Linked DNA regions of Drosophila melanogaster. Changing the gene in region 2 together with the main gene of any one other region gives a genetic interaction. Each region holds a gene or a part of one and is shown on either strand. Other genes may lie near its edges.

What was found.
Region 1: of kni (region 2) and Acsl, changing one enhances a phenotype caused by changing the other (phenotypic enhancement), as found in Drosophila melanogaster (one study listed by BioGRID).

What each region holds. Positions count from the first base shown.
Region 1 is NT_033778.4:8,673,865-8,681,597, reverse strand, and holds the start of Acsl (Acyl-CoA synthetase long-chain), read right to left. Parts: upstream 6,029-7,733; 5' UTR 5,890-6,028; intron 5,522-5,889; exon of another isoform or gene 5,264-5,521; intron 5,127-5,263; coding exon of another isoform or gene 5,126-5,126; coding exon 4,991-5,125; intron 4,380-4,990; exon of another isoform or gene 4,264-4,379; coding exon of another isoform or gene 4,003-4,263; exon of another isoform or gene 3,937-4,002; intron 3,633-3,936; coding exon 3,570-3,632; intron 3,169-3,569; coding exon 2,730-3,168; intron 2,671-2,729; coding exon 2,464-2,670; intron 2,453-2,463; exon of another isoform or gene 2,388-2,452; coding exon of another isoform or gene 2,162-2,387; intron 2,105-2,161; coding exon of another isoform or gene 1,770-2,104; exon of another isoform or gene 1,645-1,769; intron 1,587-1,644; coding exon 1,112-1,586; intron 1,050-1,111; coding exon 877-1,049; intron 814-876; coding exon 550-813; intron 489-549; coding exon 213-488; intron 148-212; coding exon 1-147. Other genes in the region: CG30355 (uncharacterized protein), read left to right, coding at 1,770-2,104, 2,162-2,387; UQCR-11L (Ubiquinol-cytochrome c reductase 11 kDa subunit-like), read right to left, coding at 4,003-4,263.
Region 2 is NT_037436.4:20,691,805-20,696,069, reverse strand, and holds kni (knirps), read left to right. Parts: upstream 1-1,513; 5' UTR 1,514-1,613; coding exon 1,614-1,628; intron 1,629-1,729; coding exon 1,730-1,807; intron 1,808-2,022; coding exon 2,023-3,234; 3' UTR 3,235-3,740; downstream 3,741-4,265. UniProt on the Drosophila melanogaster protein: Transcriptional repressor. Binds to multiple sites in the eve stripe 3 enhancer element. Plays an essential role in the segmentation process both by refining the expression patterns of gap genes and by establishing pair-rules stripes of gene expression.

The DNA of each region.
Region 1 (7,733 bases), on a different chromosome or scaffold from region 2:
CGTACATGCGGTTAATATCATGCTGATATCTGTCCTGGATATCCTTGCGCTTCAGCTTGAAGGCGGCGGTTACCAGCCCCATGTCCGGAGACCAGACCTCCTTACAAAGTGTGATGGCGGCGGGAACCTCATATTTTTGCAATTTACCTTTAAGATTAAACAATTTGCCATTAAAAACTTTGAAAAATACTCAAATCTGCATCGTAGCTTACATTTCCGCGCATGCTCAGCAATTTCCTTGAGAATAGCCTTCTCTATGATCGGTGATGAGCACAGCTCCTCAAAGGACTTATCACCCAGGCCATGTTTCTGTGCCAGCTCCTCCAAATGGTTTTGGTTGGGAACGACCAGCGCCACTGTGTACTGCTTTGTCGGATCTCCGTATACGCAAATGTTCTCGATGATTCCGCAAGTCTTAAGCTCAGATTCAACTTTGCCAAGGGAAACATACTCGCCGGCCTGCAGCTTAACCAGATCCTTCTTACGATCTGCAAAAAGCGTATTATAATAAAAAAAATGAAAGAAAAAGCACTGTGCTAAATAACTTACCAATAATCTTAAGTACGCCATCAGCTTGTATTTCGCCAATGTCGCCGGTTTTAAACCATCTCTGTCCATCCTCCTCAAAGAAATCCTCGTTGGTCTTGCCGGGCAACTTGTAGTATCCCTGGGAGACACACTCGCCACCAATGAGAACCTCACCCTGGGGATAAGGTTTATTTGTGACGCGGTAGTTGCCTTCTTCCCAGTTGACTAGACGGATGTCGCAGACAGTTAATGGTCCTCCAGTGCGTCCATAGGTCATATCACGGTCTTGTATTGGGTATAAAGTTATTTACTTGTTTTCAAAAGAAAGGTCGATCTGCGATCACTTACAGTCCATGACAGTGGCTCCAGACGTAGTTTCCGTAAGGCCATAGCCCTGAATCAGCTCCAAGCACAAGCAGGTCTTGATCTGCTCATGTGTATCTGCTGACAGAGGCGCTCCGCCAGACATGATAATGCGCACTTTGCCACCCATTAGCTTTGCCACCTTCTTGAACACCAGTCTGCAAGAAAAATAATAGTTTTAGTTAGCAACTCATGATATTTATGAGCACACCGTTCTTACTTATCAATCAGCGGCGTCTTGTACCCCCTCTGCACCCACTTGACTTTGTACTGGTAAAGGAATTTGAAGAGTGATTTCTTGAACGCCGAGCCAGAGTTAACCTTGTCGTTAATACCCTTGGAAATGCGATCCAATATCAGCGGCACCGAAGTCATGCAGGTGGGCTTCAGGACGGTGGCATCGCCCTTGCACCCGCGTTTGATCTTGCTGCTAGTGTCGATCAGAGTCAAGGGGGTCGAGTAGCCAATTGGAACGCCAGTCATGAGACACACACTTTCCGCAACCAATTCAAAAACGTGAGCCAGGGGCAGGAATCCGATCAGTACATCATCCGGATAGATAGGCACCATATCAACAAATCCCTTCATTGTCGCAATGCAGTTCTTGTGCGAGAGGAGGACACCCTTAGGTGTGCCAGTGGATCCGGAAGTGTACATGATAATGGCAATGTCATCTCCCTTGGGTGGAACGTGCTCTGTGGGATACAAAATAAAGTCAATTAGTACTAGTTTAATATTTAACAAATTCCTTGCGCATAGCACGCTATACATATGCTGTCAACATTTCAGTGCTGAATTAAAAGCGCATACTTTCGGTAAACAGAAAGAACTCTTTCCAAATTGTGTAGGGTGATTTTTTAGTTCAGACACCATTCGAAATGGCTGAAGTCCTAGAGGAATTCATCACCCTAACGCCCTTGACTTGTGTGCAACAATGCAATGCTTTACTAGGCTCAACATCAGGAAAGCCGAGAAGCTGCTCCGTATTTTTTACACTATTTGGCGTATACTGCGGCGTTCTCATCTTTCGGGCGTATCGCACATATTCCTCTAAGCAAGAAAGAGACGAGGAAAAGATAACCGAAGGAGTTACCCTTGAGGCTAAGGAGGAAGATTTGATCATAGGACCTGGTTCCAGTCTTGTGAACGAATATGTAGAACAAACGAAGCCGATTCTGTTGCAACCCGTCGGTTTTTCCAGTACTGACATGAGGTGAGAGTTGTAGATTAAAACACTGGATGACCCATCAACACATTCTGTCTCGATTAGATGGCGCTATTGCAACCACTTGCCGGAAGCAGAATTAGCACAAGGCTCTGATAGTGAAAACAGATCAACCGAAAGAGATGACATTGATAACCTCGAAAGGATGAGCAATGTTGTGGATGATAATGATGCGCAGAAGCCGGTTGCATCCACATCGATGGCAACGGCTCGGGCGCCTGAGGATAACGCCGATGGTGAACACGTCGAGCCCACACCATTTTCGGTGTGAAACACGATGCATTTTAGCAAATTTATCGTGTAATTGACATAAATAAATCATCTTTTAAGACCCTTTCAAAACGTACCAAATTTACTGTCCTGTCCTGTCTTGACAACTTGGTTAAACGGCAAGATCTTGACGCCCTCCTTGAAGCCAGTGGTTTCTGTCTTTTGCAGCTGATCCTCAATATAGATAATAGTCTTCACCAATGGGCATTTGTCGAGCAGCGTCTTAAACTTGGGCAGCAGATCATGGGAGGTGATAACCGTGGTGACTTCCGTTTCGGTGATGCCTGGCAACAGAGCAAAATATTATTTAAAAACCATACACATGGTAAGCCAATTTACTCACAATGAGCAACTCCATCATCGCCCAGCGTAGCATAGACAGTGACAATGGGCATAGCCTGCTTAAAGCATCCGTGGGCAGCTATCATCCATTCGGCTCGCGTTTCGGCAAAGATGACAATGTTCTCGCGTGGTTTCTGGCCAAGTTCTCGCAGACCGCGCCCGAAATTAGCCGCCGTGCGCTCCGCCTCGGTGAACGTCTTCCACTTGTAGTCACCGAGGTTGTACTTCTTGAAGACTCGACCGTTCTGCTGCACCTCATCCTCCTCGCTGAGGATCTGCCGGGTGCCCAGACAACGCTTCGACGTGTAAGTTTTGGCCACATAGTTGAATACCTTCTCCAGGGTATCGATATTCTCTTGCAGCATCTTCACGTGGACATCCCGTGGTGGATCCGTGGTCCGGTAGGTCAGCTCATTGTCATCATTCCGCACGATCTTTGCCTGGAAAATGAGCGAATTCGTGGCGATTAGTTTAACGTCGTGTTAGAGGTTGCGATTTAAAAAGAAACGCTAGATTAGGGGAGGGACCACAAAGTAGAATCGACAGAGAGATAACGGACATGTGAGTTTTCGAGGGTTTGTTGAGGTGAGGGCCGTAACTCGGGAGATCATGTTTCTTGGACCAACACCAAAAAGAGTCTCCAAAAAGGGGATTCAACTCTGGGTACGATCACCAACCAGTACCTGGAACATTCATTGTGCGTGTGTGGTGTTTGTGTGTTGTATGGGGGTGCCCCAATGTATGTGTGTGTGTGTGTGTGTGTGTGTTCGTGTAATGTGTGTATGTTCCATAACAGATAGTATTACTAAATAATAAAAAAACACATTTGCAAAAGTTAAACCTCAATGTCATCCGGCGCGTACTTGGACTCATCGACCAACATTTTCTGGTTAATGGGCTTGGCCTGTAGAGGAAGGAGGAGTTGAGATATGCGATGAGAAGCTAGTTAGCTGTGGTATTGCATAGAGTTACTGATTCCCGATTAAGGCATTCAACTCGTTTTACTTATTTTTTCTAAAGATTATGCAAACTGCACACAAATGAAAGCGATCTTAGATTCCGGCGTTGGCGTACCCTTACTAACCCATAAACCTTATCAGCCGACTGAAAAGGCCAACCAAAATGCGTTCCATTTAGATAGTGAAAAGTCAGATAAAAGTGTACCTCAGGTGGGACTTTTCCTAAACGAGTTATAGCTGGAAATATTTATGTTTTAGTTTGTTTCCTTTATTTAAGTGCCAATTTTATTTTTTTAGCATTGCTAGAATTTGAAACTATTTGAGTTTCGAGAAGAGACTGTGAGCAACGCAATGATCCAATTCAGCGACGAAGTCGAACAATTCCTCCATGCATGTCTCAGTGGTTTTGGACTTGCCATTCACACGATCATTGCACTCTTGATACTTGTTGTACAGGGACGCAATGTGACCTTTGGCCTGGCACTTCTCCCTAAGGGCTGCTTGCGGATCAACTAACTCCTTTTCGTCATCATCGGCCTTGAGGACAGGCACCAAAACCCGGCTATTAAACGCCATTCCTTAGGCTTTCAGTTAACAAGACTAATTTATTTTGCAGGAAATGTGATAAGCTAACACTCACTTCGAAATATGTTTTTTATTTCTGGGCTGAGAGCTAGGGTGTCTCACTTGCACAGCTCACTATGTGTGAATATTATTTCCATTTGAAAAGAAGGTAGAGATATTCTATGATTTCTTAACTTCATGGTTCTGTTATCAGGACCAACTGCGATTTCATTATGGCCTGACAACCTGTGCACTTGTCAAATACAGCCATGGCTGGAAGTCCTGACATTCGCGGAGTTATAAAGCAAAATGAAAGAAAGTTAATCGGATATGATAATTACCGCATAAAAAGCGAAGCCCTGATAAAGGCGAATAGATTGTGGAAATGGTGGACCTGGTCAATAAATCAAAAGTAGTCATATCTACATAGATTAGACAATGAAATGAACATAAGGAAACCACCTGGCGAGAACAAGGCTCGAAGTAAGGGAAATAAATGCGGAAAAGAACTTAATGAAACTGATAACCGAGGGTGCACTTTTTTAATAAAAACTAAAACAACTCGATTGTAGCAGGCCTCTGTACTTTGGAACGTGCAGTGCAAAGTCGAAAGTATTTCAACTACACGATTCTAGAGATAGTTACACCCCTCGTCGCACCGATTGGCCGGCTAAGTCTGTGGCTTTTTCCATTCGTTTCAACTAGCCAGATTAGTGGCAAGTCCTGTCAAAGCACTCACCTTCACGCGACGCGAGTCCTGACGGCGTTTCCAGGGCTTCTGCAGCACCAAGTAAACCGGAAGGGTGATGATGTCGTAGACAAAGGCGATCGCCTTGATCGCGCCAATAGCGCTCTGCACCCAGAAGCTGTCCATTCTGAAAGGGCAATAGAAATGTCAAATTAGTGGCCAATTGGTATGCAAATTTCAGCGGGGTATTTCAACTATTGCTTTCCCCGCCTCGTCAAGTATTCGCCCGGTTGACTCCTGCAACCATTCTCCCATTGCACCCACCCACTCGTTGTAGCGCCGTCGCAAGCCGAAAACCAACTGATATCACCACCTGCTGCTGCTGCCACTGTTAGTTAGCAGGTCTTAAAAGTCCGACGGCGGAAAAGGGGTAGACACTCTCACGCTCACTTTGGTTCTCGGTGCTCAGAAAACGCTTTTCAAACGGCCGATAACCGGTGAAGAGCTCTGAAGGTGTTCGGCTTTTTATCAGCTACAGATTGCTTAGCACTAACTAACGCGCCGAAGCCCGGACCGCTAGTAATCATCACTCTTTCGCGGCACAGAATTCTGCCATTGTAATAAACCGAAACTTAAGTGTGTGTGTCTGGCACTCGTCTGGACCCTTTTATACGTCCGGCATCTTATCTGCCATCTAAAACCAATCTAGTTGGCTTGCCAAGTACTTCATAAAACGTGTCAAAAATCAAGGGTATTTGCAATATATCATTGATTTTGAAGCAATCTTTATGGCCCAAATACTTTATAAAATGATGACCCAATTTTGGGGAAATACTTCCTAATTTTTCCAACGGCTAAATTCGGCTCTATTCTTAAAACTCTTATCTTTAGTTTATTTGTGTACTTATCGACAACCGAAAATAACGAAAAGATTTGTCGGGAACTCTTACTTTCTTTGCAATTCCATTAGGACCGCCGTCATTTTAAACGTTCTTGTCACGTTATTTATAATTAAAATTGGACAAAAACCTCATGCCAAATATTTTTAAATTTTGATTTATAATTATAAATCTGAACGACTGCCACCAGAACACTAGATAAACTTATTATCGCAATGCCTAATTAATTAAAACACTGTAAAGCATTTTACTAAGAATTTCGGACGCTGATTACTGATTATCGCTCGATGGCAGACTAAATGGAAAACCAGTTACTAGTAGCATACCAAGACCATACTAAGATAGAAGCTAGTTTAATAGGAAACGAGTCATGCTGAGATTCGCACTTAACAAATATCTATATATAATTATATAATTGAATATTATATGCCGGTCGTGGCATACATACATACATATGTGTCACTTTTTATAATTCCTAGTTGAAAACTGCACACTTGATAAAGACATCGTGTGTGAGTGCTGGCCTGATAAGCAAATCGAACGAATGCCTTGAACTTGGCTTGCGCAAAATGGCATGACGTCAATTTCCCGGGCCAATGAGCTTAAAAGGTTGCGCGCTATGTCAAAAGAAATTTAATAAACCGCAAATAGAATGTTTAAAGTTAAGAGGTGAAAAGTCCATGTGCTAAGTGTCAACTCATTAAAAAAAAATACCCCTACATTTGAGACTCAGCGTTCTTAATGGAATGCAATACATTAATTATATTTCCCAACTCCAAAAAATCCACAACCACAAGCTTACACTGAGTGATGTACTTATGAAATAAAAATACACAGAAAACGGGCTCAAAACTAAACAGGTCTTATATAATAAATGTGTTTACTTACTGCGCATCGTCTTCGATGAACATCTTGCTGCCTTTTCTCTACTTGTCCGATCTATGAATTAAATGAGTGTTTTTTGATCGGTAGTGAAAATGGTGGGTGTGAGGCGTATCCTCCAAAAGAGCCCAGCTCTGATTAATGGCAAGAACAAACGAACAATGGACGCAACAATAATACAATAGGATGATGTCAGTTGTTCCTCTCCAGATGTTCAGTTTGTAGTTTCACCTGCAACCGATAAAAGAACAAATATATGCATTTATGTAGTGCTAATGAGGTAGGACGACAAATGGGGAGCGACAGCAGACGAGGAAGTCATGGAAATCAGCATTGCTGCATTTAACCGATACCAGAGCGTGTGATGACATAATAACAAAGCACCTTTGAGCACACAGAAAATAACATAATTCTATAGGCTGCTATCTAGCTTAGGCTATATTATCTTAGTACAGATAGTAATTTCCCAATTGCATTCTTAAAATAGATTATCATAATCAAACCGCGCGTAAATATATTTTTTTCCAATTAGCCAACTGTGCGGCCTTCGTAAATATTATAATCAAATCAGAACCTGAAGTCCAAACAAGTTGTTGTTACGCTTTCGGTATTTCTGGATACTTGCCAGAATATCGAAACGCTGATAATAAGAACATAAAAAGCGATTAAAGATATTATCAACAGAGAATGGGGTGTATACCTATAGGGAAAATGTAAAATTAGGCTGCCAAGAGAGCGATTGCGTAATCGGATTCTCAACCCCCTCAAAATCACTCTCTCTTTCATTTCGCCCATTAGCTAGGCGGAGAAACATTGGCATAGGTCGGGGACATCAATAGAAACTAAACAAATTCTTTGGCATTCATTTACACAACTTACAAAGCGCTGTTTTTGCTATTCGTTTATAAAAAAAAGTGTTGAAGGCAAGGGCCAAAGTCCGACGCACCAAGGTTTATCCGCTCTGAAAGCCGATACCAATTGGTTCCCTTAGAATCTGCCCGCCCTGATAAGCA
Region 2 (4,265 bases):
CAGTTTGTGAATCACACAGAAAGTGGGAATATTTCCCGCGGAAAAAGGTTTTGAAAATCAAACTAGGTGTTAGGCATACAGGCAACTCTAAATGTACCCAAAAACCGGCGGACTTTGAAAAGAAAACCCCAAGCGAATTGGCCTCCAACCATTTCGATTTCGAGCAGCCAAAACGGCTCCGCCCATGCCAAAAAAATGAGCAGCTGTTAAAAATGAAGTCAATAGCTTAGTCAATGTGGTGTGTGTGTGTGTGTGTGGTGTTCGAGTGAGTGAGAAATCCAGCCGCCCTTAGCACGCGAGTATCTTTAATAAATAAACGAATAACGAATAATATCAGGGCCATGCAAATAGCCTGATTACAGGGAACTCAAAATCGAGAGAGAGAGAGAGACTGAGCGTGAGATCTGAATGAGTGAGTGAGTGTTTTCTATTCATTCAACAACAGAGCGTTAACATTCTGCTAACATTTCGCTCGAGTGGGGTTCGAACTCAATGCGCATGTGTGCGTGCTCGATCGCTCTCTCACTCGATCCGAGTCTTAAAGGTGGTGGTTTCAGCCGTGATTTATCAGAGAGCTGGGGCTGAAAACTGGTAAGTTTGCTTTGGTGTGAGTGCGAGTACATAAGCCAAAGAGTTCGGCCAGTAGGCGAAACACAGAAACGCTTCTTGCCAGTCGAACCTCTCAGCCAGAAATCAGTCGTCAGCTAGTAGCCGAAGTGTCAGTTACACACATCGAGGATTCCCAAACCGCGTTGTTTCGGCGATCAAAAACCATACATCACATCAAATCGTATCCAAAATTATAATCAAAGTGTTGAAAACCTGAATCACTCAGACTGATCGAAAAGTGCTTGCAAACCGAAAACAAAACAAAAAAAAAAAAAATAACAGACACAAACTGCCAAAGTGAGAAAACGTGCAGCAACGATCGCGAATCGCTGCAATTAAAAAGTCGTCATAAACCTAGTGCCCATCCAACAAAAAAAAGCAAAAAGGTAAGTTCTGAGCGAGGGAGACAACATGAGATCAAAGTCAATTCACGGTTCTTGTTTTTGGGTCGCGGCCGTCGGCAAATTTTACGATCCCTTGTGCACTACTTTTATTTTTTACTGTTTCACGCGAAAAACTAACGGCCACATTTCCATCTTTTCCTTATTTTTTTGCGTCCCGAGGCAGCGGGAAAAAAATCACAATTTTCATAAGCCGAATTTTCTATTTTTTGTTTGACTCGGGAAAAATCGGCGTGAGTTTTTATGGCCGAACGTCAAGGTCTGGACTGCTGCTGCATTTTTTTAGGGAACACTATTTTCGCAGCACTCGTAATGACTTCGAATAAAAAAGAAAATCTACCTGAGTTTTATGACTGGACAGCGCGAAAAAAATGAAAATGAACGCATAGGGTTGCATAATCCGGCAGCTTAAGTTTTTTGGCCTGTTGTGATCATAAAAAACGCCCATCCTGTCTAGTTTTTCCCAGTTTCCTATATATATCCTGGCCCGCCTAGAGCTCAGCATCAGTTGCTCAGCAGCATTCCAAGCGAACAGATCATACAGCAGATCCTCACAGCGATCGTGAGAAAAGCATTCAAAATTCCAACAAATATCATTCCAAAATGGTGTTCAACTTGGTTAGTGTCCAGAGCCGTTCGCCTACTTGTGGATTACACATATACCTCTCGACCAGTGGATTAAACCCTTACTAACGCGGGATTTCTTTACAATCTTCCAGATGAACCAGACATGCAAAGTGTGCGGTGAGCCGGCGGCGGGCTTCCATTTTGGCGCCTTCACCTGCGAGGGCTGCAAGGTAAGTTGTGTCTCAAGAAATCCATTGACAAATAAATTAGCAGAACGTAACCCCCCAAGGGGTTAGTTTTAGAAATGTTCGAGGAACAGGCCATCGGCGATTCAAATCGTTGTACCATTGGCCTTAAGTTCTTGAATGAATTTCTGCTCTTCTTTTGCTAATGAGTTGCATACCACATAACTAAGCCACATTCGTCCTTCCCTTCGCCATTGCAGTCCTTCTTTGGCCGCTCTTACAACAACATCAGCACCATCAGCGAGTGCAAGAACGAGGGCAAGTGCATCATCGACAAGAAGAACCGCACCACCTGCAAGGCGTGCCGCTTGAGGAAGTGCTACAACGTGGGCATGTCGAAGGGGGGATCCCGCTACGGACGTCGCTCCAACTGGTTCAAGATCCATTGTCTGCTGCAGGAGCACGAACAGGCCGCCGCAGCGGCGGGCAAGGCGCCTCCATTAGCGGGTGGCGTATCGGTGGGTGGTGCCCCGTCGGCCTCTTCCCCGGTGGGCTCGCCACACACTCCCGGATTTGGGGACATGGCCGCCCATTTGCACCACCATCATCAGCAGCAGCAGCAGCAGCAGGTGCCGCGTCATCCACATATGCCTCTGCTGGGCTATCCCAGCTATCTGTCCGACCCATCCGCCGCCCTGCCCTTCTTCAGCATGATGGGCGGTGTACCGCACCAGTCGCCCTTCCAGCTGCCCCCACACCTCCTCTTCCCAGGCTACCATGCAAGTGCTGCCGCTGCAGCGGCTTCTGCTGCCGATGCCGCTTACCGGCAGGAGATGTACAAGCACCGCCAGAGCGTGGATTCCGTTGAGTCGCAGAACCGCTTTAGTCCCGCCAGCCAGCCACCAGTGGTGCAGCCCACCTCCTCGGCCCGCCAGTCGCCCATCGATGTCTGCCTGGAGGAGGATGTTCACTCCGTGCACAGCCATCAGTCGTCCGCAAGCCTCCTGCATCCCATTGCCATCCGAGCCACGCCAACCACTCCGACTAGCAGCAGCCCGCTGAGTTTTGCGGCCAAGATGCAGAGCTTGTCGCCCGTTTCGGTTTGCTCCATTGGCGGCGAAACCACCAGCGTTGTACCAGTGCATCCTCCCACCGTTTCCGCTCAAGAAGGACCCATGGATCTGAGCATGAAGACCTCGCGGAGCTCCGTGCACAGCTTCAACGACAGCGGCTCCGAGGATCAAGAAGTGGAGGTGGCTCCGCGCCGGAAGTTCTACCAACTGGAGGCCGAGTGCCTGACCACCAGCAGCAGCAGTTCCTCCCACTCCGCCGCCCACTCACCGAACACCACCACCGCCCATGCGGAAGTCAAGCGGCAGAAGCTAGGTGGTGCAGAGGCCACCCACTTCGGTGGCTTCGCGGTGGCCCACAATGCGGCTAGTGCCATGAGGGGAATATTCGTGTGTGTCTAAGTACACGGCGAAAAAACCAAGTGGGAGGAGTCGCCCCAAAAACCCTCGTTGTTTATTTTTTGTTACTTAAAGAAAATGTAAATTTATTCGTGTGCTCGCTCACACTTAGGGAAGTGGAAAGAGATAGGGACAGACAGGTTTTGCTGGAAAGAGACAGCCTGACCAGGTAGTTGCATTGCACTCGCACACATACACCTATATACCACCACACACACACTCACACTCACCTATTGAGCTCGGATCCAAAAATTATTTTTTATGAAAACGTTAAAATTGTAAATATATCTTTGAGCTTGTTTGCAATTGTATTTTAAAGTTAGCCGGCGGAAGAGCCGTAGAAGTAGTAATCATTCCCACCCTCAAATGCTATTGTACATACAAATTGTTAAGTCTAAGAATGATCTTTATTGTCTCTAAGTATTTTATTCTATTATAGTCCTAGTTATGGTATGTCTAAAGATTGGCATTTAGTTTTATACAAAGAAAAATAAAAACTATTAAAAATTAAACTTTTGTCGTTTCCAATGCTTTTCGGTGTATTTCAGAATACACAAATTCATATTTGAAGTTTTTGCTTATGGATAATTGAACTAACTTATTTACAATGTCGTCTTGAAGCTCATTAATTCCACGGCACGTTTACTTCGGTGTTGCTTTTATTGATTTAATTTTAGTTGTGACATCATAGAAAAGTGTATTTAATTACAAAACAAACACTTTAAGAAAATTATTTAAAAATACTCATACAACGTATTCGTTGTACCTTAAAGTTAACGAACTCTTCTGATTTGTTTAAGCACATTATTATGGACTATATGTCTGGTGCAAACTATCTTTCGGATGTATCTGCTGGATGTATCAACGAAGTTTGTCGGCTACCGCACATTCCTATAGGATCAAAGCCAATAAATTATTTACGTATTCAGCTACCGCTCTTGTTTCAAAATCAGTTCTGTTCAAACATGCGAGCATATATCCATATACATATATCTGATCGGCGGTGTCTTTGGCTCGATGTTCGTTAACCACGG